Linked DNA regions of Tamandua tetradactyla. The main gene of each other region encodes a partner of the protein of the gene in region 4 in a complex. Links are inferred from orthologs where the notes say so. Each region holds a gene or a part of one and is shown on either strand. Other genes may lie near its edges.

Region 1 (8,361 bases), on a different chromosome or scaffold from region 4:
CTGGGCCTCTGGAAGCTCGAGCGGAGCCTTCCTGCCCATCTCGCAGACATCCCCATCGTCTGGCAGAACAACTACGCCTCGCCAGGCAGCCCCCCGCCTCCCATCCCTCGGCCGAGAGAAGGGGGTGTCTCAGGGCCCAGTATGGGCGGGAAGGGACCGGAGGGAGCCACAAGTCTGCACCCAGGAGGGGAGGAGGCGGGCGGGAGCCGCTCCGCAGGCGCAGGCGAGTGGGTGGGAAGGAGGGAGGGAGAAAGGGAGGAAGGAGGTGAGGCTGGGAAGATGCCACTGCCGGGGGCGGGGCGGGGCCGGTGATCCGGCAGAGGGACTGCAGCGGTTTTGGTGGGGGCGGGGGCTGCAATGTCACTCATGTGGGGGTCAGGTGTGTGCGTCCCAGGCAGGGGCCGCCACGCGCCTACATCTTCCCGGTACCACCCTGGGCGCCGGGGGGGAGGCGGAGAGCAGAGGGACTGCGGAGCCGTCCCCGGAGCGGGACGCGAACCGGCAGAGTTGGGAGAAGGTAAACAACGGCCACGCCCCCTGCCGTCGCCCCGCGGGCGCGCACCCGCCGCCCCAGCAGCCGCCGGTACATTTCCACTCTCCCAGCGCCTCTACCCCGCCGGACTCCCGCGCAGCCCCGGAGGGGTGGTTGCCCCCAACTCCAGCCCGCGCCTCGGCGCCGGGGCCGTGCACTTCCCCCCACTCACCTGGAAAGAGCGTCTCCCGCATATCCAAAAAACTGTCTTAATTTGTGCAGAGCCTCGGCGCCCGGGAGCCAAGCATGCTGCCCCCGCGTGCAGCTCCCGCGTGCACCCAGCCCGGAGAGGGGGCGAGAGAGCGGAGGCGGTGGCCTCCGGAAGGTGTCTGGGGCCGGACTAGCTGCACGTGAGCCCAGTGCGGGGTCATGTGCACCAGCTCAGCCCGGTTCGGCGCCCGGACGTGCTGCGTATCAACAAAATGAAACTCGGGGCGACAGGAGGGCAGATAGCTCCAGGTCCTGAGCAGCGCCCCCCCCCCCCGGGGGGCAGTCGACAGCCGCCCCCCACCCCCGCACCCTTTACCCACCGCAGCCCCTGCTCCCGGCCCGAGCCGCGGGGCAAGTTGCAGCACCGGCGCGCCCCCGCCCGCCCGCGCCCCCTCGCCGGTCCGGGGGCGCTTTGCCGCAGTCATTAATAAAGAAGGTCGCCAAGCTCACCCTTCCAAAAGTTGTTGTTGCATGCGCCCCTCTCAGCCTCCCCGCACTGTACTCTTTAAAACACGACTGACCAACATGCGCAATCTCTCTCCCCAGTGCTGTGCATCTCACCACCCCCCCTACCCCCCGCCCCCCGGCGCTGGCTTCCTAGAACAGGCAGCCAGCAGGAGAGGGAGCGAGTGAGCAAGAGAGAGCGAGGGAGCGAGAAGCGCTGGCAGATCTGTTGCAAAAACACAAAATAATGCCGTAGAGATGCGCAGGGCCCTTCCACTGGAGGGTGGATCTTACCTTGCTCCGCTGTGCCCTCCCGAGGGGCGCTGCCCTCGGCTACGCGCCACAGCGGGGGCCGGCGCGGAAAGGATGCTCCCGAAACCCGGAGCTCCTGGGGCCGGCGCGGAAGGGCGGGGGGCGCGCATCCATCCGGGGTCGCGGCGAGGGAGGGAGCCGGGCCCGCGGCCTCCCCAGCCACGGACGATCAACCCGCGAGACCCCAGCGGGCGCGGCTAGGAGTGGGCGCAAAGTAACTCCATGGACGCTACTCGCTTCCCCCCACCACCTCCAAATAGCCTCCAACTGCGATGGCCGCGGTCGGCACCATTTACCAACCCCCTGTGTATGTTTCTGTTTCTTTTTAAACCAAGACTTCCTTGTGATCTCTTTAGAAAAAAAAAAAAATGTGTTGAGGTGGGGGTGGGGGTGGGGGTAGGGGCGGGCGGGAGGAGCGAGGGTGGGGGAGTAGCCACTTTTTTTCTTATTCACTCCGATCTCCGCTCTTGACACTCCTGTCGTCCGACACCCCCCCCCCCCGTACCCCCCCACACCCAGTTGTTTGGCTCCCGCGGTGCATCCAGGTAGCGTTGCGGGCCCCGCAGGGAGGGTGCCCTGTCGAGCCGCCCGCCTACCGACACCCCGGGCTCGGGCTCCCCACCGGCTCGGGGGCGCCCCCAGCCCGCCCTGTCCCCAGGGCCGGGCCTGAGCGGCGGCTGCGCCCGTGCAAGTCCCATCAGGTCTGCTCACACTTCACACACTCACACACATACTCCGCCCCTCCACTCTCTCACTCACACTTTCTGCTCACACCCCGCCCCCTTCGCTCCCCAGACCCGGGCGGCGCCCCCCGCAACCTTAAAAAAAAAAAAGAAGCAAGCTTATACTTAAAAAAATCTTTTGGCGCCATATTAATGACGTACTTAAAATTTGCCATTTCTCCCTGCGTCAAAAAGACGTTTCTTCGCAAATAACAGCCTGGAGGCGACGCTCGCGGAGGGAACGAGGTTTGCACTGAGCACCCGCCCCCCAGGGCTCCAGCGCTAGAAGCCCCTCGCCCTAGGCCTTACTCTGGAATCACTGGTTTTAAAATGCGAATTGAATAAATCGCGTGGCGTTTCCCAGCCCAGCGCTAGAAGTGAGCAGAAAGTGCTAGCAGGAGCGGAGGGGAGGGGCGCGCGCGAGTCTGGGGGAGGGGGCGCGGCCCTCCTCCCCCACCCACGCCAGATGGAAACTAACGTCCCCGGCGGGGGGAAACTTGAAATTGTAGGCGACCTCAAAAAAAGGAGGGGCGGTCGGTAGAGAGGGTCCCTCGCCGGCTCGCCGCCCCTTACCCCCGCTCGGGTGTCTCCTGGCGCCCGGCGCTGCCCCGCATTTCCGGGGGGTGGGGTGGGGTGGGGAAGGCGGTGATGGGTGGGTGGGTGGCTGCACATCCTGACCCCCGTGGGAGTTTGCATTTGCCCCGGAGTAACCCCGTCTCCCTAGTTCACCACCCCGTTCCCCGAGGCTCCGAAAGGGTTAAAAAACGAGGGGCAACTTCCAAGGGCTGGCACTTGGCGAGGAAGCAGGGCGCCCCTCTCCCCACCCTTCGCCTCCTCGCCCCTCCTCCTCCGGCTCCAGTTCCCGACTTGACCTTGTGGTGCACAAACAGTGCGCTCGGATCCTCGCAGTTTCTGGAAGAAGAGCCTGCGATCGCCGGGCAGGCGGGCTGGCGGGCGGCTGCGGGGCGGTGGCGGGGCCTGGGGGCCGATCCCGGAGCCGCGGGCCACACCCACCCGGGCCGCTGCGCCCGCCGCGCTCACCTTCTCTCGAGGAAGGAGAAAGGTTGGCCTCCGGGATGGGCACTAGGGAGGTGGGGTGGGGGCAGTTGCATCCTCCCGCGGATGCCCACAGCCGTGGACGAGGTAGTCTGTGGTGTGGCCTTGGGCAGGGCAGAGGAGGAGGGAGACCTAGGAGCTGGGGCCAACATCTCCAAAGCATCACTGCCAACTTTTTCTTCCCCCCCCCCCATCCCACGTCCTTCTTGGCAGCCCCTCAGAGATGATCCAATCTTTTTTTTTTCCCGGTTCACCTTTGGCAGTTCACCTATGGCACCAGGGTAAACTGAGAAGTGGCTCAGGAACCACCTTATCTCTCCAAGACTGAAGATTGTTTATTCTTTCTTTCCCCTCCACCCCCTTCCAAGGAAAGATAAATATTCAATTTACATAACATGACATTTATGTGACAATTAAGAAGATTCCCCGATGGAATATTGTGAACACATTTGCTTATAGGAGAAATAAATCTAATAATAAACAAACTCGTAATAACAGCACAAATCCTCTGACAGAGAGGATTGTTTACACAACAAAGAGGGAGATGATTAAAAATGCTGAAATAAGCACTTTTTGCAACCAGAAAGAACTATGATCTCAAAGGGAGTCCCTGCAACACTTCTCCTCCTTGGCCTTCATTCACAAGATGGGGTGTGGGAGGTGCGGGAGCTTATCCGGCAAGACTAGGGGCAGGTGGACTAACCATCACCTGGCTCTGGCTCTCCATGATCAGTGGATAGGATTTTCCCAAGCCTAGGTCAGGGCCTGCAAAACAGGTGTCATGGGCTGTGGTGCAGTAACAAAATGGTTAAATTCTTGGATTCTAGTCCTGGCTCTGCCTCTCAGAAGCTGTGTGGTATGGGCAAGTGAGTTCATCTTTCTAGTTCTCTTCTTCTTCATCTGTAGAAGGGGGCAGTTGTGGGTTCCTGAGGTCATACGTCCGTGTGGACGTGTGTGTGTACATGTGCATTTGGACGTGTGTGTGTGTACATGTGCAGGCACATGCAGGTAAACAGGGCCTGGCTCAGAGCACACGTGTGCAGTAAGCAGCCCACTCCCCCATCTACTGTATGCTGTTTGGAAAGGTTAATGTGCTCTCCCAAAACTCTTAACTCTGAAAAACTGGGGGACGATTATTTCTGTCAACACACAAAAGGGAGGGCCAGGATAAAAAAACATAATGGACAGTGGCCTTGATGGTCAAGGTCCAGGCAGCACTCTCAGCCACACTGGAGTTGGGGGTCACCAATTTACAGCAGCCCAGTCCCGGGGATCTGCTCTGCTTGGGCCTGGCTCCGAAGGATTTGTATGTAGGAGAGGACAAGTCAGGCTGTCTGCTCCCAGGTGTCAGGATCCCATGATCTAAAATGGGGAAATACCTTAGTAGGCAATTATAAAATGACCTAGAGGAGGGGGTCACCATTTCTAGAGCGCCTGCTTTGTGCTGGCAAACCCCCCTTCTTAGCTGTTCACCAAGGTGTAGTAACTTACCAACGGTCCCATGGCTTGTAAGTGTTGGCAGAATTGGCACCTAGATCTACCTGACCCCAAGATCTGTGCGGCTCTCATTTTACTACCCTGCCAGAAATAGAAAGTACTGGTATGATTGGTTTGACTCCGGTTGAGGCCTGATTTGGCAAAGAGAGCAGGATTTTACTGGCTGCATTTTGACCCTGAGGTGGTTCTCTAAGCTTGGGTGAGCCCTCCATCCCGTGAAGGGTCCTTGGGAGATACCTGTGGTTTAAGTCTGGAAATCCCATCAGGACCCTTGGGTTCTCATTAACCTTAGAAATGTTAACATAATGATAATGATGAAGCTAATTTATAACTACTTAATCTTTATTAAAAGTTTCATAAATCATTAACTTTGCAGAATACGAAAAGAAAAGAAACAGAGTTCTTGGAGATGTAATCATTTGTTGACTCACATATATTTATTGAGTGCCTCCCGTACGCCCGGTACTCTTCTGCTTGCTGAGGGCACACGGCACGAACAAAACAGACAGATAAAAATCCTTGCTCTGATCTCATGGGACTTACTTTCTAGTGGAAGGAGATACATAATGTATATACTCTGTGTTTGAAGGTAGGTGCCATGGAGAAAATTAAGTAGAATTGGGTGATAGGGAGATAGCAGTTCCTTAGGGAGACCTCACTGAGATGTGGCTTTTGAGCAAAAGAAGGTAAAGGAGTGAGCAGTAAGGGTTAATGGGGAAAGATCATTCTAGTCAGGGGTTCTTAACCTGGATTCTTAAGAGGTCTAAGAAGTCCTTTAAGAGATCTCTGGATAAAATTCAGGGGTTCTTGACCTTAGATGGGAAAAAAATGTAATTTAGCATAATTTTCAATTATGAATTCAGAAACAAATCACAGTGGTGTTAGCAACTGTGACGCTGTTGCTAGTAGAAATCAGATATTTTTATATCACATTACAGTTGTTGCGGCTATCTGAAAATATCATTACACTCACCGCTATTTCAAAATTAGGCTGCTATGTCTTGTAATTTAAATGAATTAAGAAGCGTATGTATTACTATATAGTACATTTAAAAATATTTTGAGAGTGATTTTCAATATAATTGATTTTCTTTGTAATTTATGTAACTTATTGTAAGGATTAACAATTATTGTACTCAGTTGTCCACAGCCTTCACAGAAGCCAGAGGAGGAGTCCATGGCACCAAAGATGGTTGAGAACCACTGTCACTGCAAAGAGACCAGCAAACACAAATGCCCCGAGGCATTAAGGTGCTTAATATGCATAAGGAAGAGTTATCTAGGGCCTTGTAGGGAGTGGTTAGGAATTTAGCTTTTTGCTGGAATTGAGACAGGAAGCACTGGAGAGTTTTAAGCAGAACAGCGACATGACCTGAGGTACTGGGTTTTACAGGTCACTCTGGCTGCTGTGTAGCAGACAGACCGAAGGGGCCAGGATATTGGCAGGAAGACCAGTTAAGAGGTCACTTCAACACACCAGGTAAGAGATGTGCTTAAGATGGATCATCAGGGGGTAGCAGTGAAAGTGATAAGAAGTTGACATCTGTATGTATTTTAAAGGTAACTCTATCAAGATTTACTGATGGATTAGCTGTGGGGTATGAGAGAGGGAAAGAAGTTGAAGATGACTTCAAGGGTTTTGCCTTGAACCAGTGGAAGAATCGAGTTGCCGTGAACTGATATGGGGGAGATGTGAAAGGAGTAGGCTTTGGGGGGAGGCTGAAGAGCTCAGCCTTGGACATGTTAAGATTGAGATGCCTGTTAGCATTTAAGTGCTGCCATTCCATAGACAGCTAGACCGGGCAGTCTCAGCTCAGGGCTAAAGAGAGTGGTCAGCAGATGGATGGTATTTCATGCTATCTGAGATCACCAAAGAAGTGAGGGTAGACAGAGAAGAAGCCCAGCGATGATGCCTTTGGACACTGCAAGGTTAAGAGGTCTGGGAAATGACGAGGAATCAGCAAAGATGTTTTTGTGTTTTGTTTTTTTTTTTAAAAAAGCATCCAGATCGCTAGGAAGAAAGTCCAAAGAATATGATGTCCTGGAAGTCCTAGTGAAAAGAGAGTTTCAAAAGGGAGGAAAGCCCTATGTTCAAAGCTACAAAGCAGTCAGAAAGAGAAAGGTTGAGAATTCACCGGATTCAGCAACGCGGATGTCATTGGTGACCTTGACAAGAGTCGTGTCAGTGGAGTGGTGCAGACGAAAGCTTGATTGGAGTGAGTTCAAGAGAGTGGGGAGGTTTATACTTGTTACTAGCTAGTTCCAAGATGCTACCTAAAAATAAAATGCCCTTCATTTGTATATATCTTTGTGAATGTGTGTAAAGATGGATAACCAAAAATCTGTAGAAATTCAATTCAAACAGCTTTTGTTGAGGATCTTCCCCATGGTGGCTCGGTGCTGGATGCCACGGATACAGTGAGAAATAAAACACATTCACTGACTTGCAAGAGTTCACAGGAGTTCACAGTCTACCAAACCTCTTTGACACCTGAAATACACACAAGGCAATGCATAGGGCTAATTATATACAGTCTGTCTGGGCATCAGCTTTTCCAGTGTAGTAGGCATTACGTTTAAGACTGAATTCCAGGGCCAGGAAGTCCTGGGTTGGAATCTGGTCTCTGTCATTCACCAGCTCTGTGACTTTGCATGAGTTACTTAACCTCTCTGTGCTTTGGTTTCCTCTTCTGTAAGCTAGAGATGCAACCATTTCCAAATTACTGGAAATAATTGTCTGGGATGCTTGTTTAAAATGCAGATTGCTGGATCTCATCTTCAAAGGTTCTCAAGGGGTAGGTCCAGAGCAGGGCCCAGGAATCTGCATTTTTAACCAGCAGCTGGTCATTCTTGATGCCCTAGGCCTTGAACCACACTTTGTAAAACACTGAGAGCATGCCCACACGGTACTGAGCACTGGTCTGGCCCTCAGTAGACAATAGCCACTCCTCCAGGAGCCCTTGTGAGGAACAAAAAGCCTTTCAAACAGCTCGATGTGTGTGTCCAGAGGCACAGGTCCAGCATATCCTGAGCACCCTAAATGGAGAAACCCACATGAGATTTGGTTAATATTCATTCGCTGAATATTTACTGAGTGCGCCAGGTGGGAAGTCCTCATTCGGCATTCGGATTCCCCGTCCATGTTCACTTGTTGGCTGCTTAAGGCAGTGCCTGTCTAGTGGTGGCATGCAGATACCTCACCTGGGATCTCGTTAAAGTACAGATTATGATATAGTGGGTCTGGGGTGGGGCCTGAGAATCTGCATTTCTAACAAGCTCCAAGATGATGCTGATGCTACTGGTCCACTGCTCACACTTGAAATAGCACAGGTTTGAACAGTTAGGAAAATTGGGTCACAACACTTGCCCTAACCTTAGGGTTCCCAGGGAATTCCTGGGAATCCTGAAGGGGAAGGGTGGAATTAGAGAAGCAATCTGAAGACATATTGATTGCACAGGTACAACTGAGGTTTGCTCACGCTTCCTTCTGTCTCCTATATCTGGGATCCAGTCCTTGCTGCCCTCCCACACCTAGTCAGTGGCATTAGATGGGCTACTTTGAGGGAGGATGGACGTTCATTCTGTTGG
Region 2 (7,273 bases), on a different chromosome or scaffold from region 4:
ATTTCACAGCTTGGGATACCTCAGAAGTGCACATGAGCAGAGCATACACAGTAACTCCAAGCTGCATCAACATGAAGCTCACATTTACACGGGTCTGAGGCTTTCAAAATCACTCATCCTGACACCTGTCATCTTGTTCCAATAAGCCATCAACAGCCCATTCACCCCAGGCCCAAGAGTCTCCCCAGGACCAGAAGGAAAGGGCAATAGTGCCAGGAGAGGCAGAAGCAAGGAACAGCCCAGATGCCACAGCTCTGCAGAGGGCATCTGCTATGAGAAGCCCTCCAAGAGGCTGGGACAGTTCTTGCCCACCCCACTTCATGTAGGCCAAGTCAATAGGCAGCCAAGACCAGGACGACGACTCGGGTCTAGACCCCACGGCCAGTTGGCCCAGGGGGCCAGTTAGGACAATTCTACTGTGGGCTGGGATCCCACAGGTACAGGGGCCACGGTCTCAAGGTGCACCATCTCAGTGGCTACTTGGTCCTCAGGGTCTCCAGGGGCCCCTCCCTGCCAACTCATCCCTTCCCCCACGACTGCCCGGGACAGCCCCCGGGGGAGCAAAAGTACACCCAAGAACTCACAAGCCCTTCATGCTAACAAGGTAAAGGGGGACAGCTACCTACTGGGAGTTTCTGGCCAGACGCATATCCCCATGCACACCGTGCTGGAATGGAAAAGGAGAGCCCCAGCATAGCCTCCATGGGGCCTCCACGATGACCACCCCACCCCAAGGTGCCTTCTGCCATAGGTGGCCTGAATGCTGCTACGCCAGCCTGTGTCCTCTCCCTCTTTCTGGAAGAAACCCAGGTATGGACATCTCTGCCTTCTGCTTGGCTCCTCAGCAGGGCTGACTCCCAGAGAACCCTGCTGGCAGAGACCGCACTGAAGTCTCTACACTACAAGGCTGGTGCTGGCTCCAGGGCCTGAAAGCTCTGCTGCAGAGGTTTGAGAATTTGCTCTTCTCAAAGATCGGCAAAGCCAGCATGCTGCCCTCCAGAGCTGCCAGTTTCTGTGGCTGAGAGCAGTAGGCCTGTCACCACTGCATCAGTTTCACCGCGTACCACTTACAGGGGCCTGGCCCCTTGTTCCTTGAGGACCTAACACTAGGCCACCCTTGCGACCAGATCACAGCCCCAGAGGCACTCTCGTCCAACAACAAGGAAGAAGCCTGACTGTCCCTGGGAAACAGCTACATTTCACACAAAGGAAACAAGATTACTTTTATAAATTCAGGGCTTACAAACAAGTGTTTCAAACAAGTGTTCCAAGTTGGAGAGGCCCCAGCACAGCATCTAGCCCTGCCCTGTCAGGAGGTCCAAGGGCAGCCTGCAGAGCCCTAATTCACAGCCTCTGGGTCACCCGAGTTGTACTCCAAGAAAAGCCCACAAAGAAGAGATTCACTCTATACTTAGACATTCTTAGCTCCTATAGGGACATCCCAGCAGAGCCTATGTACACTTCTTAGGAAAAAACCTACAGCTTGTGGTTGAAATCAGACTGGAATTCCCTATGCAGACACCATGGTAGGGAAAACCCCCACTAGCCCGCATATCTCAGGGACCTCTGGGGCTCACTGAAACCTGAATTCCTGCTGAGCTGTCAGCAAAGCTGCTCCAGCCCTGTGCAAACCAGGGCCCCACACCTCCAATAGCAGGCAGACACCTTCCGAGGCGGGCTGGGCGTGGCCCCCAGCCCAGTGCCACCGCCTTCACGGCAGGCGCCCTCCAGCACTCTGGGAGAGCCACACACGCTCATTACTGAGGTGGGGCAGAAGCAACAGTTGGTTACTCACCAGATTCAAAACAAACATATAATTTTCTCCTCTACAGCAAAGCACAAAGCAACTCTAAGTACAAGGTCTTCAAAACCTGAACTCTCTCAACAGGTCTCAGAGCTCTTCATCTGACCCCTTCCTACCAGGAGAGCTTAGCCACTGACTCAACAGTCAGAGCAGTTCTAGCCCAAGGCATTACAGAGGGTGAGATGGGCATTCATTGGCAGCATCGGACACAGGGTGACCGGGGTACTTGGCATCTCCCTAAGCCCTGGTCAGCCGGCAGCCTCTCCCCATTCCCAGGGCTGTACAAGGAAAAAGGGACAGCAAGGGCAGCCGGTGTGTTTCCAGGGAAATGAGTGTGCTAAATGCACACGTCCTGGAAAGCCACAAGGGCCAGAAGAGAGTCACTCCAAAGCAGTGATTTGCTTGGGGGTTTTGTAATTAGTTTCATTTCCTGTCTGGCTGTGGACAAGTCATTGAAACTCTCCAGGACTCTGCAGCCTCTATCATAAAGTAGGTACAGGAAGAGCTTATGCTTGGCCAGGTTGTGGGAAGAGTAAGTGGTGAGCCAGGTAAATACACAATGCCATAACTCCTAGTTCATATTTTAAGCAATGACAAAGACTTAAACCCAGGCAGGAGGGTGCTTTGTGGGGCAAGGGGCACATTCTTGGGTGGGGCGGTGATGATGTGAATGTGGATTCACTTGTCAGGACCACGGCACCCGAACAACACTTGTATGTGTGTAAATTATACCTCAGCAGAGTTACTCCTTAAGAAAAAGACCAGGCCTGCTGGGAGGCGCGTTCATTTCATCCCGGGCCGGATCCGCAGGAAGGAGGCGCCACGGCGCCCGCCGGCCCGGGGTTGCCTCTCCACCCGGGAAGTCGCAGAGGTCCGCCAACGTCTCTCGTTGGGGAATCTTTACAGTACGTCCCTGTGAACAGGGAGTTTCCTGTCTCGGCAAAACAAACAGAGTGTATCTGTTACATAACGCGATCCAGCACGCTGAGGAGGCAGCGGCCGACAGCTTCGTGCAGTGTGCCGGGCCCAACGCGGGCTGAGGCGGGGCGCAGAGCCCGGGCCGGCCTCACCCGGAGACCTGCGGGGCCTGGGCTCCAGGCACTCCCCGGCACGGCGCCGCGACCCGCCCAGGCCTCCTCCGCGCCGCCGCACGGAGCCCCCAGCGCGGTAGCGCAGGCTTGGGCCCCTCCATCCCCGCCACGGCCGACCAGCGAGCGCGGCCCCGGCTGACAGGCCCGGCCCGCCGCCCCCAGCCCGCCCGCGGACAATGCGCGCCGCCGCCGCCAAACATGGCGTCCGCTCCACAAGCCGGCGACAGGCCGCGGCCCAGGGCGGCGGCGGCCCGGGCGGCCCGCGAGTGAAGGCGGCGGCGGCGTCAGACACAGCCCGGCCGGGGACCCCCAGCACACTCACCTTCGGGGCGCCGCAGCCGCGGGAGCCCGGCGGGCGAGCGGGCGAGCACGGGGAGCCGGCGCGGCCGAGGCGGCGCTAATGGCGCCCGCGGCTCCTCCGCCAACGGCCGCGCAGGCCCGGCCCCGCCGCCGCTCCTGGGCGCGGGCTCCCTCTCGGCGCCGGCGACTCCGGGCCCGGCCGCGGTGGCCGCGGGCTCTCGGAAGGAGGCTCGCGCGGCGGAGGCCGGCGAGGAAGGCCGGCGGGGGAGACCCGGCCGGGGCGGCGGCGGCGGCAGCGGGGGGCGCGGGGCTGGCACGGACGCCCGGGCCGGGCCGCTCGCTCGCTCCCCAGCGAAGCAAACAATGCGGCGAGCGCTCCGCCCGGCGCGCTGCGTGCCCGACGCGCCCCGCCCCGGCCGCCGCCATGACGCGCGCGGGCTCCGCCGCCTTGGCCGGGCCGCGGGGAGGGGCAGCCGGAGGAGGGACCGCCGGGGCGCCGGGCTGGAGGGCGGGCGGCGGGTAGAGACTTAGGGGGTGCCGCGCGGAGGCTGAGGGGAGAACCAGGAAAGGAGACTTAAAGGGGTACAGAGGGGGGATTGGGAGAGGGGACGTGACGGGGTGAGGGAGGGGAACTAAGGGAGTGGGGGGGTGTCGGAGGATGGGGGGAACCTGAGGGGTTGCCACGGAGGGGCTGGAGGGAGACCAGAGGAGGGGGTCCCAAGGGAGTGCTGGGTAGGAGAGAAGGCTGCCAGCGGGCCTGAAAGGGTGCTGGGTGGGCCATGGGGGGAGGGAGGCTGGTGGAGTGGGGGTCCTGAGGGTGCAGACCCGGGAGGGTGATATCTGAGGGAGCGCTGGGGAGGGGTCTGCACAAAGCGCTGGGAGGGTGCCTAGCAGATGTGGGGGCTAGCTGGGCTGGAGGTCCTCTTTAGAGCATTAGAGGCCTGGTGTGGGGGGGGTGGTTAGGGAGCTGGACACCCACCTGGGATCCTGGTAAAACAGATGCCATTTTAAGATTTTTGAGAAAAGGGCCCTCTGAGGCAGAAGTTCAGAGACCCCAATCATGCTCTCCTATCAGGTTACTTCCCCTTGACCTGTTGTTTAAACTCTGAAATTGAATGACCTCTGGATAATTTTTAACCCCAAATTCCCAAAATGCTGTGATACAGGGAGTGGCCGGATGGTTCCTTGGCTACCTGTGAAGATTAACTGGCTGAGTGTGGGGACCCAGCTGGTGGCAGCAAAAGAGTCCTCTTGGGGGCACAGGGACCCCTGGGCTGGCAGATCTTCCTCCACATGGTAGGCAGGGCAGCGTCCACTGCCCGGGACCTCCACCAAATGCCTATGGTGGGACTGGGGAGACCTTGTCCACCGACAGGCCATCTGCTGGCCAGTTCATGCAGCCCAGGGCATCCAGTGTCCCCTTGGGAAGCAAAGGCCTGGAGGGGGTCAGGACCTTCAAGGTCAGCCGTGCTTCCTCTGGCCATGCCGTTGGGCAATGGTGGGGGACAGTGTGGCCTCTGCTCTAGGAATGGGTTAGTCTCAGGCCAGCTGTGCCCAGGCAGCTGGACCCAAACTCTTCCTGCTCCTGCTCCAGGCCCCCTTGCCCACCTCAGACAAACCAGAAAACCTAGAGGAGTGCCCACCCCATAGAGCAAAAGCGAGGGCCAGTTGCATGAAAGAGAAGAGGAAAAGACATGGAGTTCTTCCTCCCCAAACCAGAGACATGTGGCTCAGGGCAGAAGCAATGCCTAGGAAGAGGAAAGAAAAAAGACACACATGCCATGGGGACATGCTGGAATTCCAAGAATAAAGAGCATAGCTCAAAAGCCTTCAGAGGGAAAGGGTCTCCTTTAGAGGTAATCAGACTGAAGTCACGAAAGAGCAGTTGTCAATATCTGCGAAGGTGTTTTCACAGACCCGTAAGCATCCAGTTTACCAACCACCAAGCCCAAAAAAACTACTAAAGGATGTACTTTAGCAAAATGAAAAGAGAAGGCAAGAGTAAGAAGTGGTTGCCAGAAAAGAAGTGGTTTGAATTATTCAAAGAAAATCAAGTAACAACATGAGGGGAAAATCCCAGATGAATTAGACATGACATCTGGCAAAAAGGGGTGGAAGGGAGAAGTGAAAGTGCATCAAGATTCTTGTATTATTTGGTTGGAAGATTTTTAAATTATAGGGAAAAAGACAAAATGTATATTAGGAAATTTCTACTTAAAAAATAGAAATAGGATTTATAGCTTCTAAATAAGTGCTGAGGAGAAAGTGAGATGAAGAAAAAGGGACAGAGCCAACAAAAAGAAAAAAAACCCAAAAGCATAGTAAATAATGAATATAACATAAAGTGACAGGAGGAATCCAAATATATAAGTAATCATTGAAATGTGCTTGGACTAAATTCATCCATTAAAAGATTCAGACTCTAGGATATAAGATAGTTAAATGCTGTTTTCAAGAGATACACCTGAAAAAAATTATTGAAAATAAAAGGATAGAATGTAATACAACTTTCATTCCTCAAAAGACACATAAAGAGAATGAAGAGCAAAAATTGAAAAACTGGAGAACGTACCTTGCAAAAGATTAGTATCCAGAATATATAAAGAGTGCTTTCAAAGCCACTAGAAAAAAACAACCCACTAGAATAATGGACAAAGCCCATAACCGGGCTTCTTGCAGAGAAGAAAATTGAAACTGCCAATAACATCACTAGTAATTTTGGAAATGCAAACTAAAACCACACTAAATGTGCACAGATGTTATAGTCTGACAATACTCAGAGTTGGCAAGAAGATGGGGCAACAGAAAAGTGCTGGCCTGAGCATCAACTGGTACAATTACCTTGGCAAATAACATCGCATTATCTGGTGAAGTTGAACATATGTGTATCTTTGGGGGCAAAACAAACTGCCCCCAATGCTTCACAGCTGGAAACAACCATCACCTGTTCTGCTCGCAGATGTGCTAGAACATGCCAGGGGGACTTTACCTGGGCTTGGGGAGCCGCTCCCATGGCAGGTAGGCCGGTTGTGGCTTTAGGCTACGGGCCTCAGTTCCCCTGCAGTGCTCCTCTTTGTGCACTAGTGGGGTTCCCTCATGGGACGGCGGCTGGGTTCTAAGAACAGGGCTCCAAAGATAGCCAGGTGGGGACTGTCTTACGTCTCGTGAGCTGGCCTCAAAAGTCACCTAACGTCAATTCTGCCATAGTCACAATCCTGTGCAATTCCAGAAGCAGGGGGGACAGACCCTTCTCATTGGAGAAGTGTCAGAGTCACACATTTTAAGAGGAGAAATTGTGGGGCCACTTTGGGAAAATGCAAGCCACCACAACGTGCACACCCACTACCAGCGAGCATTAGGCCAGCGTACATTCCTAGGCACAGTCCACTCCAAGCAATGTGTACGTGAATATTCACAGCAGCACAGAGTTTAATAGCAAAAATGTGGAAGGGGTGCAGGGACTCAAATGTCCATGGATAGTAAATTTGTTATGGAGAAATAAATAGAGGGAGAAATTAATTGAAACCTCTGGTGCCGCAAAGCTGAATCTCAGTCACACGATGCTGCATGCAAGAAACAAGCCACAGGAGACGGAAGTATGGTTCTATTTGCCCTCGGAAGAAAGCTGGGAAACAGCTGTCCGGAGGTGCGTGCACACGCAGACGCACACCCATCTGTTTTGATACCCATCAACAAACCTTGAGTGTGTCCTGACCCCTCCAACTCTAGTCCAACACCATCGGGTTCATCCTGGGCTCCCCTTTGCATGTTTCGTGACGCATTTCCCGCAGCGAGTGGCCTGGTCAGTCTCCCTGGCGAGAACCAAAGCTTGACCCCAAAAGCACCAGCCACGGCACCTGCCAAAGTCTTGGCCCGGGGCACGTCGCCTTCCCATGCCTACGCCTGTGCATTCACACTGGGTCCAGGGGCCCAAAGCTGGGCTCTCCAAGGGTAGGAAGACAGGCGTGGACATGCTGGTGTTAGTTTTTAAGGGTCCATTTTCCAGCAGAAATAACAAATGCTCTTTCTCTCCTGGATCTGTCTCTATAATTTGCAAACTGCTGTGAAGCATTCTTTA
Region 3 (7,642 bases), on a different chromosome or scaffold from region 4:
AGTGATAGTTAATATCCTGTAATGATCACTAGTTAACACCCTTTTGTTCATGAAGTTAGCATTCATCACGTCTACCCCACTCATCTTAGATCCTCCCCACCCCGTAACCCAAAACACTTCCACATTCCCAGTCACTATAAGTGGAATAACAAGGAGAAACTTGTGAACTGTCAAGTGCCCCCATATTAGACATTTCAGGAAAGCTCCAAATAGGTGTCACATAATACCCACTCCTCACCTAGTAAAGGTTATAGTAAATTATCCCCTAATAAGAGAGTTTCTTAATGTGTAATTCAGTATATGACCTTTATCTTCCTCAGCTACCATGTCATGTTAGCTCCATGAGGAGGTACATGGATTATGCCCTATGATAATGTTCAATCTCCTTTTTGGCCCTTATCTCTGCACCCTGGAATAAGACTTTTAAGGGTCTTTTGTAATGCCATGGTTTCAAGAACATCCGACCCCTTTTGCCACCTCCATCTCTCCTCAAAAAATGCATGCCCAGTTCCAACCAGACCTCATAGTAATGGACAAAAAGAAGAGATAGCTTTGTGTAGCTTAGGAAAGAAATGGGTCTTTATAGTTGGTACAACACAAGGGAGGGAAAAGATAAGCAGTGGATCATGCTCAGTCTACAAGCCTCCCATTTCAACATCCTTTGCTTTGTATTTTAACTCTTGCCAACCCACACTTCTCGACTATGATGAAAGCCCTGCACCATCACCTGTCCTGTTCCTGATAACGTCCTCTACAGTCCACAGGGTTAATCTCCTCTATAGAAGGTCATCAGAGGCTTCCCCAAGGTTGCTTCCAAGTCACTGCTGGCTCTCAGCTCATCACCAACACTTCAGGGAGGAGCTGGGAAGCCGTTTCTCCACTTTCCCCTACCTGTGATCAAGAAGGCATTTATTTCACATTGCCAAGACACTGCAACATGACTCACAAAAATGGGGAGAAAGAAAGCATGAATTCTAGAACCAGAGCTGCACCCCTGAGTATTCCAGAATTCATTGGACAGAGCATGAAGGAACTATTTCAAGGTGACAATATTGCATTAAAGGCTCTTCTATTTAGCAAACAAAACTATGAAGATCACAGTTGTAGAGAATGTGGCAATGATGGTAGCTAACATTTGATTGAGAACTTAATACGTGCTGGGCTTTAAGAAGTGCTTCCCTAAGATCTCATGTAATCCTCTCACCCCTTGAAGAGATGTATTAATCTTTTACAGTTTAAGTATTTAAGCTTAGACCCCATTTTAAATGAGAAAGAAAATATGTCACGAAGGTTGAATAGTCCTGGGCTAAAAAAAACTTTAAAAACGCACCTATTCTCACTTACGCAGAGTAATCACATGATGCTACAAAAGCATGAGAACTACAATATTCAAGGGGTGCAAAAGCTGGGATTCACATTTCCATTGTTTACAGATCTTATTAAAGTATTAAACTAAATAAAAACTCCAATACTTTACTCAGGCGGACTCCTCTCTTAACAACTCTCCCCTTTCCCGGCTGACAAGAAGTGGCTGCAGGGAAGATATTTAAGACCTAACTACTCTGAGAAAGTGGATTCTCAGGCTGCTTAAACTAAGCCAAGATGTTGTGCAATCATTTTTTACCTAAATTATTTTTCATTAATTTCAAGAGTTTACAGAGAAGCAGACAGCTATCTGTATCAGACTGAGTACAGGGAATGAGATCACTTTTCCCTCCTGGCCACTGGAATCATCATCAACACGGTTTTACAATGAGGGCGGGGGCGGATCTCAGCCTCAGCTTCAGCTTCATAAACGGATCTCACAATAAAAATAATAACAAAATCTCACGCATACCTGAGACCATGGATTTCCTTTCAACTTAAAATGTCAGAGTAGCTCCCACTAAACAAGTTTCTTGCCTAGGAGCTACATGCCCCAGGGCTACCCGACGATATCAACTTTTAAACAGGCCTTCACAGAACCACCAGTGGTCACTCATTCGAGATCCCGCCCCTTTTTCCTCCTCACAAATAATAAACGCAGGTTATCCTGTGCAATTTAAAGTCAGACTTCCCGAAGCAGCGTTTTTGAAAAGCAGGAGAAAAAGACTGGAGAGAGCCAAATCAATCTATCTCTACACACACATACACAGATTGCCCCCAAGGCGTAGGGACTAAAACCAAGTTGATGGCTTAAGAAAAAAGTTAACTTTGCCGTGCCCAGACAAGGGAGAAATTTCTGGTAAGAGTTGGAAAGCCCTCAGGATTTTCCCATTCCCACGACCGCCCAGCACTCGGCGGCAGCCGACTGGCAGCGTCCGAACAATGACCTGAGGGGGAGGGAAAGTTCGCGAGCCCGCGGGGTGCCCGCCCTCGCGCTCGGTGGGCACTGGGGCCCACCAGCGGCCTCGCTGCTCCCCGGCACCACTGGTCTTCCCCTCTCTAGGCATTCGGTTCTTCCCGCCCCCCACATTCACCTCAGTATCTAACCAGCCAGGGCACGCCCTCTCTCCTCAGAGCATCCCGCCCCAGGCGGCCCGCGGAGCAGATCCGTGCAGCCGCGGATTTGACCCCGCAAACCTCAAAACCCAGCAGAGGACCGGGGCGGGGAAGCACCGGGAAGAAGCACCTGAGAAAACAGCCGCAATAGTTATGGCGCTCAATTCCTGCCCGGTTGGAGCCAAGACAGGCTGCCGACCTCGAGCGTCCGCCCTCCGCGTCCCCCGCGCGGGCCACCAGGCACTGCCTAGCCCGGGAAAGACCTCCGGGAATCCAACTCTGCCCACTCACGCTCTCGGGCGAGGGCGCCGGGCACGCGGGAGGGGACTGCGGTGTGGGGCCGAAGCGGCCCGAAACGTAGCGAGGCAGGGCTGGGACGTTGCGCCCGCGCCGCCCGCTGCGACTCCCTGAGGCCACCGCTCCCTCTGTCGGCGCGACGCCCCGCAACCCTGCTAGCCCCGCAGCTGGCCTCGGTGGCGCCTACCTTCGCTCAGCGGGGTCGCGGCTCCTTCCCGTCTCCACGGTAGGGCCCGGCAATGTGCCGGGCGAGTCTGGTAGGGATGGTAACCGCCCCCCTACCCGCTTGCTTTCTTCTCTCTCCTCCCTCGCACCTGCCCCCAATCCCTCCCTACCCCCGCCCCTCAGCCCCGGCCGCCTGATCCGCTAGGGCCAGCCCCCCGCAACTCAACTCCCGCCCTCGGCCCTCGTCAACCCGGCCCGTCAGGCCTCAGCGCTGGGCAGCTTGCGGTTGGGCGACGGTGGCGGCGGCCGAGGCGGCGCGCAGCACTATTGTATTCCTGACACTGTGCGCTCCCACGCTCCGCCTCTTCCCCTTCCTTCCTCCTCCCACCCCCCACCGGCCGCGCTTGCCCTCCCCAACAGGCTCCCTACCGTCTCCTGGCCGCGCGCTCTTCTGGCGGGCGGGCGCCGTCGCCTGCGCAGAGGGTCTCAAAGCTCCGCCCACCCAACGCTCCTGCACTCGCGACACTTGTCCTTCAGGTGGGTTCTTCACCCCTCCTGCTGGGCGTGCTGCTTCGGGGAGGAGCTCCAGCCAGACTAAAAGCCAGAGGGGACGAGGTGGAGGTGACTTGGCTGTGTTGAAATACAAGCTAAACTCTTTGTGGCCCCTTCTAACTCTAAAGTTCTGTAAGTGGAACTCTCATAGCTCAAAGTCGTGATCAGCCGCCATTGATTTAGGTTATTTGTACTTTAATTAGCTATAATAACAAAATCATAATGGCTGTTAACAGACTTCATTTATCCCATTGCAGGCACTAATGATTTATGGTGTTGTGTGGCTTTTTGTGTGTCTGCTTGGCAAGACTGTAACCTCAAATTATTCATTCCAACACTGATCTAGGTGTTATTGTAAAGGTATTTGGCAGATATAATTAAAGCACTTAATCAGACGAATTAAAGTTAGATTATCCGGAATGATCTGGGTGAGCCTGACTGAATCAGTTGGAAGGCCTTAAAAGCAAGGCTGACATTTCAGAGAATATTGGAGAGAAATTCCGCCGTATGCTGAACAGCTTTGGCCTGTGCCCGTGGGTTCTAGCCTGCTCACGATCTCTCCTATCTGACCGATGGACTACTCTACAGATTTTGGATTTGCTTAATCAGCCCCCACTATACTTTGAGCCAATAGTTTGTAATAAATGCATACATTTATACATAAAAACATTAATGCATTGTATATAAAACCTATGTATTTTTGCTTCTCTGGTTAAATGCAGACATACAGATGTTTCAACAACCAATCTTTTAAATTTACCTATCTGGGTTTGGAAGTATACCATGTGCAGTTGCAATGAACTCATATAGCCATTTTCCCATTTGCATTTCTAGGATAAACAATAATATAGGCTCTTTGATATTTTGTTTGTTTTCCATATTAAAGACAAAAGTGTTTCATGATATACAAAAGTGTAAGTTGTAAAATACTTCAGACTTAACCTCATTCTATTGTACTTATTTTGAAATAATTACATATTTACAGGAAGTTGCAAAAAATACTACACAGAGGTCCTTTGAACATTTTATCCAATTTCCCCCAATGGTGACATCTTACATAACTATAGTACAATATCAAAACCAGGATATTGACATTGGTACAATCCAAAGAACTTATTCAGATTTCACCAGTTTTACATGCACTTATTTCTGTATTTGTGTATATAGTTCTATGTATGTGTTCTCACATATATAGATTCGTATAACCACCACAATCAACTGTCCCTCCACCACAAAGTTTCCTCCTGCAGTCCCTTCGTAATCACAGTCACCCTCTTCCCTCCTTCTAACCCCTGGCAATCCATAACATATTCTCCATCTCTATGGAACAACATTACATAAATGGAATCATACACTATATAAACTTTTAAGATTAGTTGTTGTCCCTCAGCAATAGTCACTTGAGATCACCCAAATTATTGCATATATCAGTAGTTCATTCATTTTTATTGCTGAGTAATATTCCATACTATGAATATACCATAATTTGTTTAACCATTCATCCTTTGAAGGACATTTAGGTTGTTTCCAACTTTTGGCTATTAAGAATAAAGCTGCTATAAACATTCATATAGAGGTTTTTGTGTGAGCTTAAGTTTCCATTTCTCCAGGGCATATACCCAAGGATATAATAGCTAGGTCATATGGTAGCTATGTATTTAGTGATACCCAAGGATGTAATGGCTAGGTAATATGGTAGCTATATGTTTAGTGTTAAACTAGCATAAGAAGCTGCTAAATTATTTTCCAGACTGGATGTACCATTTTACATTTCTACCAGCAATGCATTAGAGATCCAGTTATTTTACATCTTTGTCAGTATTTGATATTATCACTATATTTTTATTTTAACCATTTAATAGATGTGTAGTGATATCTCATTGTGGTCTTAAATTGCATTTCCCTAATGGCTAATGATATTGAACATCTTTATTTATGTTTATTTGCATCTGTATATCCTCTTTGAGAAAATGTCTGTTCGTGCCTTTTGCCCATTTTCTAATTGGATTATTTGGTTTTTACTGTTACATTTTGAGAATTCTTTATATATCCTCAATACAAATCTTCTGTCAGATAAGTGATTTGTGAATATTTTTTCCCACTGTGTAGCTGGTCCTTTCATCCTTTCAACAAGTATTTTGCAGACCAAAAGTTTTTAACTTTGATGAAGTCCAATTTATCAATTTTTACATTTATGCGTTGTACTTTTGGTAGCAAGTCTAAGAAATCTTTGCCTAGCCCAAGTCTGGAAGATTTTATCTTATGTGTAGTTTTACATTTTACATGATTCATTTTTAAAATTTAATTTTTGAATAAAATGTGAACATAAGGTCAAGGTTCACATTTTTAGCTGTGGGTGTCTGATGACTCCAATATCATTTGTTAAAATTACTATCTTTCCTCCATTGAATTTCTTTTGTACCTTTATAAACATCAGCTGGGCATATTTGTGTTTGCCTATTTCTGCATTCTCTATTCTGTTTCACAGATCTATGTGTCTGTCTCTCTGTGAATAGCAGAGTCTTGAATAGCATAGCTATAAAGTAAGCCTTAATATAGGTAGAATGATTCCCACCACTTTATTCCTTTTCAGAATTGTTTTAGCCATTCAAGGTCATTTGCCTATCCATATAAGTTTTGGATAAAGCTTGTCTATACCTACAAAACATCTTTCTGTGATTTTGTTAGGAACTGTGTTAAACCTATAGATCAATTTGGGGGCAACTGACTTCTTTACTATATTGAGTCTTTGAATCCATGAATGTGATATATCTCTCCATTTATTTAGATCTTTGAATTCTTTCATCAGCATTTTGGAATTTTCAACATACAGAACCTGTACATGTTTTGTTAAGTGTACATGTAAGTATTTCATTTTCTTTAGCACAATTTAAATGATATTGTGTTTTTAATTTCAACTTCACGTTCCTTGTTCATTATTAGTATATAGAATTGCTTTCAATTTTTTGTATTACTCTTTTATCCTATGATCTTGGTGAACTCAGTTATTGGTTGTAGGCGTTTTCTACTTAGACAATCGTAGTCTGTGAAAATAGGGACAGTTTTATGTCTTTCTTTTCAATCTGTATGCCTTATGTTTCCTTTTGTTGCCTTATTATGCTGGCTATAACTTTCTGTACTATGTTGGATAAGAGTGATGAGAGTGGACATCCTTGCCCTGCTCCTGATCTTAGGGGGAAAGCGTTCAGTCTTTCACCATTAAATATGATATTAGCTGTAGGATTTTTGTAGATGCTCTTTATCAAGTTGAGAAAGCACCCAATATTCCTAGAATGCTGAGAGTTTTTATCATGAATGAGTGCTGAAATTTGTCAAAAGCTTTTTCTGCATTTATCAATATAATCATATATAATTTTTCTTGTTTAGCTTGTGGCTATGGTAGGTAGCATTTATTGAACATTGATTTTTGAACCAACCTTGCATACCCAGAATAAACCCCACTTGGCCATTGTGTAATTCCTTTTATACCTTGCTGACTTCTACATCGCTAATATTTTGTTGCAGATTTTTATGTCGAAGTTCATGAGAAATAAAAGTCTGTGGCTGTTTTTGTTTTTGTTTTCTGTACTATTTTGGTCTGATTTTGGTATTAAGATAATTCTGGCCTCATAACATGAGTTGGGAAGTTGCACAGAAAAGAGTTCACATAGCAGGCCCTTGGCTGGTATCTGGGCACTTGGATTTCAGGAGGGTTTGCACCATTCCCTGAACGGATAAGAGTGGCTCGCTGTGCCTAAATTATTTGTGCAAATAGTATGGTTTATGCTGAATGGCTGCTTTCCTTCTGGGAGTCTGAAATTTTGGTAAATGCTAGGCAGAGGGTGCCTGTATAACCAACCCCCAGTAAGAACCTGGGGCACTGTGTCTCTAATAAGCTTCCATAGTAGACAACATTTCACATGTGTTGTCAAAACTTGTTGCTGAAGGAATTAAGTACATCCTGCATGATTCCACTGAGAGACAACTCTTGAAATATTGTCAATGGTTTCTTCTGGACTTCACCCCATGTGTCTTTTCCCTTTGCTAATAGTGCTCTGTATCCTTTCACTGTAATAAACCATAGCCATGTGTTGAGTCCTGTGAGTCCTCCTAGTTAATCATTAAACCTGGGGGTGGTTTTAGGGGC
Region 4 (7,901 bases):
TATAACAATATACAAATATTTTCCCTCCTTTAGGATTCATTTTTTTCTTCCTGATTGCCCTCTGATAGTCTTAAGCAAAATCATAATAGATTAATCAAAAGAAAGAATACAGCTTTTTAAATACTTTTTTTTAAACATGGGCAGGCACCAGAAATCAAACCCGGGTCTCTGGTATGACAGGCAAGAATTCTGTCTCTGAGCCACCATTGCACTGCCCTTTAAATACTTTTGAATGACAAAACCTATTCTGAAGCACACAGTAGGCTTTACTTCTCCAACTGATCATGAAATAAAAGAAATACAAAGCAAAAATTAAGTCACATTTTAAACAAATTTCCTAATACATAAATCTTACAGATTCTCCAAAGAAGAGAACCGGAACTCTCAAACTTTGAGATGAATAAAGCTAGCACTCAGAAAGTTTGTCAGTTTGTACACCTCCAAGGGGCTCCATTCTCAATGTAGTCTATGTTTTGCCTTAGAGAAGGCCACCTTACAAAAATTACACTGCAAATGCAACCCCTAGGAGTCAAGCAATTCCCTAGTAATGAAGTACAGTAACTAGAAAGAGACCCAGACCTCATACATTTTCTAGCTGTTTCAAGTATTTACAACTTTCAGATGTCCAGGGCATGACCACTGACATCTTCTAAGAATCCTATGCCTCTTCCTTTGCAAAATGCTGTTCCCTTTGCCTAGAACACCAAGCCCATCATTTCCTACTTGATCCTTTAAGATCTCATTCTGGGAGACCTGTTCTTAGTTGGCTGCCCTACCTTGAGGGCAAGAACATAATTTTTCCATCACTGCATCCTACTACATAGCATAGTATTTGAATTATACTAGGCATTTATCAATACTGCCATTGTAGAAAAAAACTTAAAAGTTGCAAAATCAAAGACAGCTATTCTTTAAACTCTTAAATTTAAAAATAAAAAATTAAAGACAGCTGTTGAGAAAATATTCCCTCTTTCTTGCTTGAAAAATTGAAGTTTTTCTCTGTTTTGCAACATGCATTTAGCAATGATCAAATCAGCACTCAAAGCATATTATAATTTTTCTTTTCTTAATCTTGTATCTCCTACCGATCATCAGCTTTGCACATTTCAACCTTCTTTCCTCCCCAGGGAATTCTAGAGTAGAAGCAGAAGTCAAGGGTGCCTTCCAAATCCAAGTACAGATGGCTAATGGCACTAAAGAACCTAAACTTCCTTCCAACTCTGAGAGTCTAGATTTTTTACTATTCCCCCCAAATTCTGGGTATTTACACAATGATGTTTGGGTACATTTGTATTTATTAAGTGTGTATCTGACTATATTTCACAACTAAATATGGTTTCAGAAGTACTAGGCTCCTTCAACTATAGATTAAAGATACTATGTTAAGTCCCTAAACCTAAACTGTTGTGATAGAAAATGAAGCGGTAATATTCCCATTTTACTGAAGGGAAAACTGTAGTCTAAAAAAATTAAATGACTTATGACATACATCATGGCACACTCTAACATGTCACGTTATGTCATAGTTCCTTTGGGTCTACAAATTGGATGGCACCCCCAACAGAACCATTTTTAAAGACCTGATACATATACAGTTATTCATTCTGCATTTCACCAGTTTCTGACATCTATACCAAGATAAGGGACCAGTTTCCAAATTAACTACCACAATAACAGACTGACCAATGGTCAGCTGTGAGTGGTCAGAGAGAACAAAGCCTTTTACCTTGAGAACTCTGGCTCAGCCTGGCTGAGGAGCGGGTGACTCTGGCAGATCGCCGAGAGGTGCCATCACTCTCTGAACTGTCTGTGTGCTCGAGATCTGTAGAAAAATCGGAATCTTCGGTTCCATCTGAACTACTGCCTGCATTCCTCTGTAACACCATAGATCCAGACATTAGCACAGAAGTATTTAAACTATAGGATCGTGTTAACAGTGGAAATAAAACAAACCATGATGCCGAAAACACCAAGCTCTACCTCAGAAAGGATTCCAGATACAATTCCTCCGCCAGCCTAGAGTCAACTAGCCTTTATTAAGAACATTTAAACAGGTAACCTACAAATAAGGTACTTTTGTTAAATAAACAAAAAATTAACTCTTACTGTATTATCACTAATTCTGAAACTAATCCATTTGGAGATAAGCATAACAAAAGTATCCAACTCAAAAATGGTCTGGCTGATGTATCAATGCACATGGAAAGTCCAAATCAGTAAGAAAAATGTTTGGCTAAGATCCATTCGACTTCAGGTTACCTTTGTTCTAAATCTCCACAAACAGCTATCATATGTTAAGAAACCATGTGCTAATTCAAAATATCATGGTCCTCAACTATGTTACCAAGAGAACTTCCAGAGAAAGAGAAAAAGAAAGAAACTCTTTCTTATGTCCTCTCCCCGTAAAGGTTTCTCTAAAAGGACTGGAAAAGGCAGCTTGCATGTGAAAAGTTGGGGATATTAAAAAACAGATTTTTAAAATAATGTTTTCCTAAAAATTATTCGTCAATCATTAGCTTCCTCAGGAGTGAATAGCCATAAAGATAATTTTTATCAACTGAGCACTAACACTATATCCTTTAATCAGAGAAAGGAGAATATTTACTAAAATACAGAGCTTTGAACTACAAATCCCTAATCCTTTATTCAAAATGCTTGGGTCCAGCTGAGTTTGCTATTCATTATTTCTTAGATTATTGGAAAGAGACTACTTCACATACAAATAAAGCCTATAATCAAGCATATTAATATTTCTGCAGCAAAATGTGAAAACAGTAACACTAAATGCGATATATAAAAAACATAAATAGCTGCTGGACAGTTTAAGACAGATTTTGACACCAAATAAATTGCTATAAAACTTAAATTTTCCAAAGATATTTGTATTTGGGAATTGCAGAAGGGGGATGGTGGACCTATTCCAATGCACCAACACTATTCCTGCATTTGGTGAGCCTTAAGATAAATACCACCTACCAACTCTAGGTCATCTTAGGAGACCTTAAATATAATACATATTTTTAATTTGAAAGTCTGTGCAGAAATGGAGGCCACAGAACAGAGTCACAGAATGGATGGAGGGAGAGTCCTAAAGATCATCTAGTTCAATTATCCAGATATTTCAACCCCTGATCACCTCTGAACATTCCTTCCCAGCTTTACCCAGGCTTTCACCAATATACTCCCCATTTACTCCAGAGCAGATTTAACTGCTTCCCACTGCCCTTGTATTACATATTTCTCCACTTAGAGAATGCATAGACTGTCTTACCGTTCTGTATGTTTTCCTCATGAGACTGCGAGTCCCTTAAACTAGGGATTGTCTAAGTAGTTTTCCAATCCCCAGCAAGCCAGCCAATAACAAGCAGTCAAACCTTTCTTCAACCAAATTAGATTTGTTGTTTAGTCCTGGCTCTGCCATTGCACTCACTTAAGAGTGGTTTTGGGCACACTACTACTAGGCCTCCGTTTGCTCAGTTGTAAAAAGAGAGACGGGGTGGTTCCTAGGTAATCCTTTAACTCTCTTCTAATTCTAGAAAGTTTCTGCTTTTACAAACTGCATTTTCTAGGCGCTGCTGAGCTAAAGACATAAAGAAAAATTAAGACTTAGACTCAATAGGCCTGAATGGATCCCTTGAGAGCGGACACTGGTTCCACAGCACCGAGTCCTCTGCTTTGTTGTCACCGCCCCCGCTCGCCCCCCCCACCCCGGAAAGAAAGGAAGCCTTAAAAACCCCGCCTCTACACCTATCAGCATCCCCACCCAGAAGGGAGGGGTCCCGTGCCGCCCAATAGAGGTCCTGCTAAACTGCGCCCCCACGGGACAGACTGCCAAGTACAGCCAATCAAGAGAAGAGGGATAGTTCTCTACAGCCAGTTAGAGCGCGGTAAGGCCGGGCCCAGACACCGCCCCCGCACGCGGGGAGGTGACCGTTGGATCCAAATGGGCGGTATCACCAGCCAATCAATATACGTCTCGATGTTTCAACAACCAATTAGCGATCAGAACGCCTCCGATCCAGCCAAGCAGAGGGCGGGAATAGTAGCAAGCATAGGCCCAGGCCAGGGTCGGGCCCACATTCTTCTATCGAGTACAGACGGAAGAGAGGGTTGCTGAGCTAAGTTGGGGGAGCAGGAAGTTGGTCCCCAACCACTGTGAAGCGTGGCTAGCTGCATCACGTTGCTCAATCGACTGTCCTCAGAAACCCGCCATCCCTCCCCTCTCGTTTTTCTCACCTTTCTTCGCGGCATCGCCGGCGGCTGCGGCCCGACGGTTCCGATCCGGGCAGCGGCGGCAGCAGCAGTAGGAACGGTGGCTCCGGCGGGCTCCGTGGCGGCCTCTGTAGCAGTCCCAATCCTGCGGACGATCCCAAGTGCCTCCTGCCTCACAGCGTCGAGAGTCTTCTGCGCAGGCGCCGCGGGCTGAGGCGCTTTTTCCTTCACTTCCGGCTGTGGTCGCGTCACTTTGCGCTCAGGCCAGAGATGGTGCTGGGAAGCGGGCGTGGCGTTCGCCCTCTTTGGTGAGGCTAGTGAGCGCCATTTTGGAATTGGGCAGGAAAAGACACTGGTAGCAGAAACCAGGGCTATTTAGGTGAATGGCGGCCTTTGTGGGCGTGGTTAGCTATTCTTGTTTGCGGCAAAAACTTGATAGTTGAAGTTAAAGGTTTTCATCTTTATCTTGGGCAAAGTTTCCCTTCCAGGTCGTTTTAAATTACTGGCGACGAAGAAGGAAACCCCCAAAATCCATGAAGTTGTTGAAGTTTAACTCCTTCGTTGCCTAATTGGCTAAAGATATTTCCGTTTAGCATGTAAACTCAAAATTGAGAAGGGGTATTTTGCACAGGAAACTTTTAAGAACCAGCCTGTGGCTCGATAGGGGAGGGAATGGCGGCTTATAAAATGAACGAAAGGGTAGCTTCTATCATCAGAAAGTTTTCTTTTTGGTAGAGGAGATACTCCCCTTGCCCTTGGCGAACAGTACGTAAATTGGTCGTTCGGGTGGTGGGAGGAGGCAATTATTCTCCAGAAGCAGTAGCTCCTAAGAATTTCCATTTTAGCCCTGTGGTGAACTTCTCCCTCCTTCCCCCATTTTGTATGGATTTCAGAGTACTGAGTGGCCAGGGATGAAAAATGTAGCGAAAACGTGGGGGTGCCATGCTAGAGTCGGAGAACCATTGAACCTATTTATCCCGAGTGAATTCTGAAAATCCAGATAGCGTGAGCCGGGAGTTGGGGTCAGGGGAGAAGAGGAAGGGATGTTTTTGAGCTAGAGTTTAAAAAGGTATAGATATTTAAATAACGATGGTGATGATGATGATTAGGGCCTCCTTTGAGAGCCTAGGAAGAAGTTGGTCAAAGATGTAACCTCGCTGGAAAAAAAGCCTTGAGAAGACCAAGACTTTGTTAACAGCAGCTGGGTGGAATCCAGACAGGCTTAAGTTAGGATCCTGGACCCGGGTTCCAACCTGAGCCTACTAAAATGAAGATTTCCCCCAAGGAGCAGAGTTCAAGAACAAAGCAGCAGAAGGCAAACATCTGATTGGTGGCTGAACAGAGGATTCTGAAGAGTTAAGATGCCCGACCCTATGCCAGCACTCTCTGTGGAGATATCCTGGACCAGTGTTGACAAAGGCAACTTTCAGTATTTAGTAATTTGATATTTAGCTTTTAATAATTAGTAGAAGTACTTTTGAATAGCCTACTTAGGTTGAACTGCATAGAAGAACTTATTTGAAAACGGCTCATATTTCTTCTTGCTTTGTATCCTCTCAGCAATCAAGCCTTGGCTATCACACTGTTACGCTGTTATTTTGCACTTAATGTTCTGTGCTGAGTTCACTTTTGAGGCTTCTGGCTCCCCACCTAGTAGTAATGACCTCTTGTGTTAAAAGCATATCTCAATTCTTTTGTGACATCCCCTCTAATAATGCCTAGACCGTGTTCTACCCACACTAAATACAAGCTAATCAAAGTATCATCTCTATTCTCCAGTCTCTGAATGTGCAGGATTTAAGTCACCCTCCCTGGAAACTGGTATTGGAGAAAAAGATCTTATCCTGACTTAAACCATTCCTAATACAAATACCAATATGACAACTGTTAAATGTTAGTAAAGCTCTTAAACTGCATTCTCTGCATGCGGCCAACACTTAAGAGTTCACAGTTTAAACATGGTTCTTGTACTTGGAAAGTGTACATTCTGGCAGAAAGATGAAAAACTTAACACCAATAGGATAGAAATAACATTCCTAAGGGGGAAAGAATGTGTACTTAACATGAGATTATACCAACTAGGTGTATTTAAAGAGAAGGAGCGGGAATCTTACATTTTTCTTTCTTTTTGTTTTAGACCAAGTATTTTTACTTTGAGTAAAGTAAGGACATAATAAGCTCTTACTTGGTTTCAAGGCCTTAGACCATTTGCTCCCTGCCCATCTTCAGCCACCAGACTTTACATAGATACTCTCCACTGTCCTTCCTGCCTTTACCCTTTCACACAGGCTTTTCTTCCTACCTACATGCATCTCCCAACACACCTTAAAATTTACTTTCTTCAAAAAGTTTTCCTATCGCTTCTCGGCCTTTTGGCTAAGATCAAGTGTAGTATCTGTTCTTATCAGTTTTATATCTGATATGTCCTCTATCCGAGGACAATATATTAAATGGATTTTTGGAATTAGGAGATGGAATAGGAGCTTGCTCCGTCCACTCCATGCATCGACCTGGTATTGCAGTATTTCCAGGAACAGTGCACGCCCCTCGGGGGGACAATAAATGTATAAAAAGTTTTTCCTGATTTATTCTTTTTAAGGTAGTAAGTCATGGTGCTATGCAATTTTGCAGTTACTGCAATATTTATACTTTTCCTTATACAATTTGGTAGATGGTTTATTCCTCACTGCCTTTCTCAAACAGATAAGAACAGTAACTCTTACTTATTCATCAGATCTACTAGTGTCCAGTATAGGACTTTCATGTCACATCTGGATTTAAATCTCAGGTCTGTTCCTTTCTCTCTGGATGCTCTTTGCACAAGATTTTTAATTGATCCATATCTCAGTTTTCACATCTGTGAACAGGAATATTAATTCCCACCTCACGGGGCTGTTATTAGGCTTAAAAGAGATGATTGTTGCAAAGCACTTAGCACAGCACTGTTCAATGAATAACTGTTGTTATTGATATGTATAATTCATGGCTATAATGTCTTAATGTTTGTAAATATATCTTTTCATGGTCCCAGTGGTTCTTTGCTTTTGTCTGTTCAACCTCAGTTCAATTCAACAGACCCGGAGTGATAACCCAGGCATTATACCATCTTTCCCCTAAAAGGACTTAGAATCCTTCTGGGACAGACAGATCAATAAGCTCATAGTTCCAAAACACTACAGCATATTATCTGGGAAAAGAGAAGGATGAGCAAAGTTCAAAAGTGCCACGGAAGAGGAAATGGATGGGTTTATCTGGAAGGTGTAGGAAAAGATTCACAGAAGAGATAAAACAGGAATGAAAATTCCAGGATGAATAAATTTGCCGGTGGACAGGGAGAAGGTGGGCTTTCCAGGCAAAGGGAACAGTACGTACAAAAGTACAGAGGTTTGTAGCAGCATGGGACATGGGGGTGACTAACGGCCTGCTGGGCTTGGGGTGATTGACAGAAGAAGCAAGAATGGTTTTGGGAATCGGTTCATGAAGAGCCTTGAATGCTCTGCCAAGGAGCCTGGACTATGGAAGCGATGGGAACCTCTGAAGTACTCTCAGCAGAGGAGTCATACAATCAGGTTTGCACTTTAGGGATCTCTTATGGCAGCTGTGAGGGGGACTGATATGTGTCAGAGAGACAGAGTCAGGGCCACCAGTTAGAACACTGCTGTAATAAACTTGGCCAGAGATGAGGAGAA

The links.
Region 1: KAT7 (region 4) and JADE2 share a complex: the UniProt entries of both Homo sapiens proteins name them as parts of the HBO1 complex. The link is inferred for Tamandua tetradactyla from reciprocal best matches to the Homo sapiens genes KAT7 and JADE2.
Region 2: the proteins of KAT7 (region 4) and BRD1 are in contact, whole or in part, in a crystal structure (PDB 5GK9), measured with the Homo sapiens proteins. The link is inferred for Tamandua tetradactyla from reciprocal best matches to the Homo sapiens genes KAT7 and BRD1. Residues at the interface, in NP_008998.1 of Homo sapiens: Leu531, Phe534, Gly536, Lys537, Glu538, Ile539, Ser540, Ile541, Lys542, Pro552, Val553, Val556, Gln560, Leu565, Tyr567, Lys571, His572, Leu573, Val574, Leu575, Lys576; in XP_047297239.1 of Homo sapiens: Val40, Ile42, Glu43, Ile44, His49, Arg50, Ile51, Ser52, Ile53, Phe54, Asp55, Pro56, Leu57, Glu58, Ile59, Ile60, Leu61.
Region 3: KAT7 (region 4) and JADE3 share a complex: the UniProt entries of both Homo sapiens proteins name them as parts of the HBO1 complex. The link is inferred for Tamandua tetradactyla from reciprocal best matches to the Homo sapiens genes KAT7 and JADE3.

What each region holds. Positions count from the first base shown.
Region 1 is NC_135346.1:13,591,150-13,599,510, reverse strand, and holds the start of JADE2 (E3 ubiquitin-protein ligase Jade-2), read right to left. Parts: upstream 3,198-8,361; 5' UTR 3,093-3,197; intron 2,829-3,092; exon of another isoform or gene 2,794-2,828; intron 2,769-2,793; exon of another isoform or gene 2,383-2,768; intron 1,590-2,382; exon of another isoform or gene 1,481-1,589; intron 1,463-1,480; exon of another isoform or gene 1,193-1,462; intron 890-1,192; exon of another isoform or gene 705-889; intron 1-704. UniProt on the Homo sapiens protein: Scaffold subunit of some HBO1 complexes, which have a histone H4 acetyltransferase activity. Acts as an E3 ubiquitin-protein ligase mediating the ubiquitination and subsequent proteasomal degradation of target protein histone demethylase KDM1A.
Region 2 is NC_135333.1:44,964,909-44,972,181, forward strand, and holds the start of BRD1 (bromodomain-containing protein 1), read right to left. Parts: upstream 3,284-7,273; 5' UTR 3,218-3,283; intron 2,736-3,217; 5' UTR 2,537-2,735; intron 1-2,536. UniProt on the Homo sapiens protein: Scaffold subunit of various histone acetyltransferase (HAT) complexes, such as the MOZ/MORF and HBO1 complexes, that acts as a regulator of hematopoiesis.
Region 3 is NC_135353.1:123,516,633-123,524,274, forward strand, and holds the start of JADE3 (protein Jade-3), read right to left. Parts: upstream 3,416-7,642; 5' UTR 3,373-3,415; intron 3,268-3,372; exon of another isoform or gene 2,966-3,267; intron 1-2,965. UniProt on the Homo sapiens protein: Scaffold subunit of some HBO1 complexes, which have a histone H4 acetyltransferase activity.
Region 4 is NC_135332.1:30,970,310-30,978,210, reverse strand, and holds the start of KAT7 (histone acetyltransferase KAT7), read right to left. Parts: upstream 3,406-7,901; 5' UTR 3,293-3,405; coding exon 3,272-3,292; intron 1,875-3,271; coding exon 1,727-1,874; intron 1-1,726. UniProt on the Homo sapiens protein: Catalytic subunit of histone acetyltransferase HBO1 complexes, which specifically mediate acetylation of histone H3 at 'Lys-14' (H3K14ac), thereby regulating various processes, such as gene transcription, protein ubiquitination, immune regulation, stem cell pluripotent and self-renewal maintenance and embryonic development.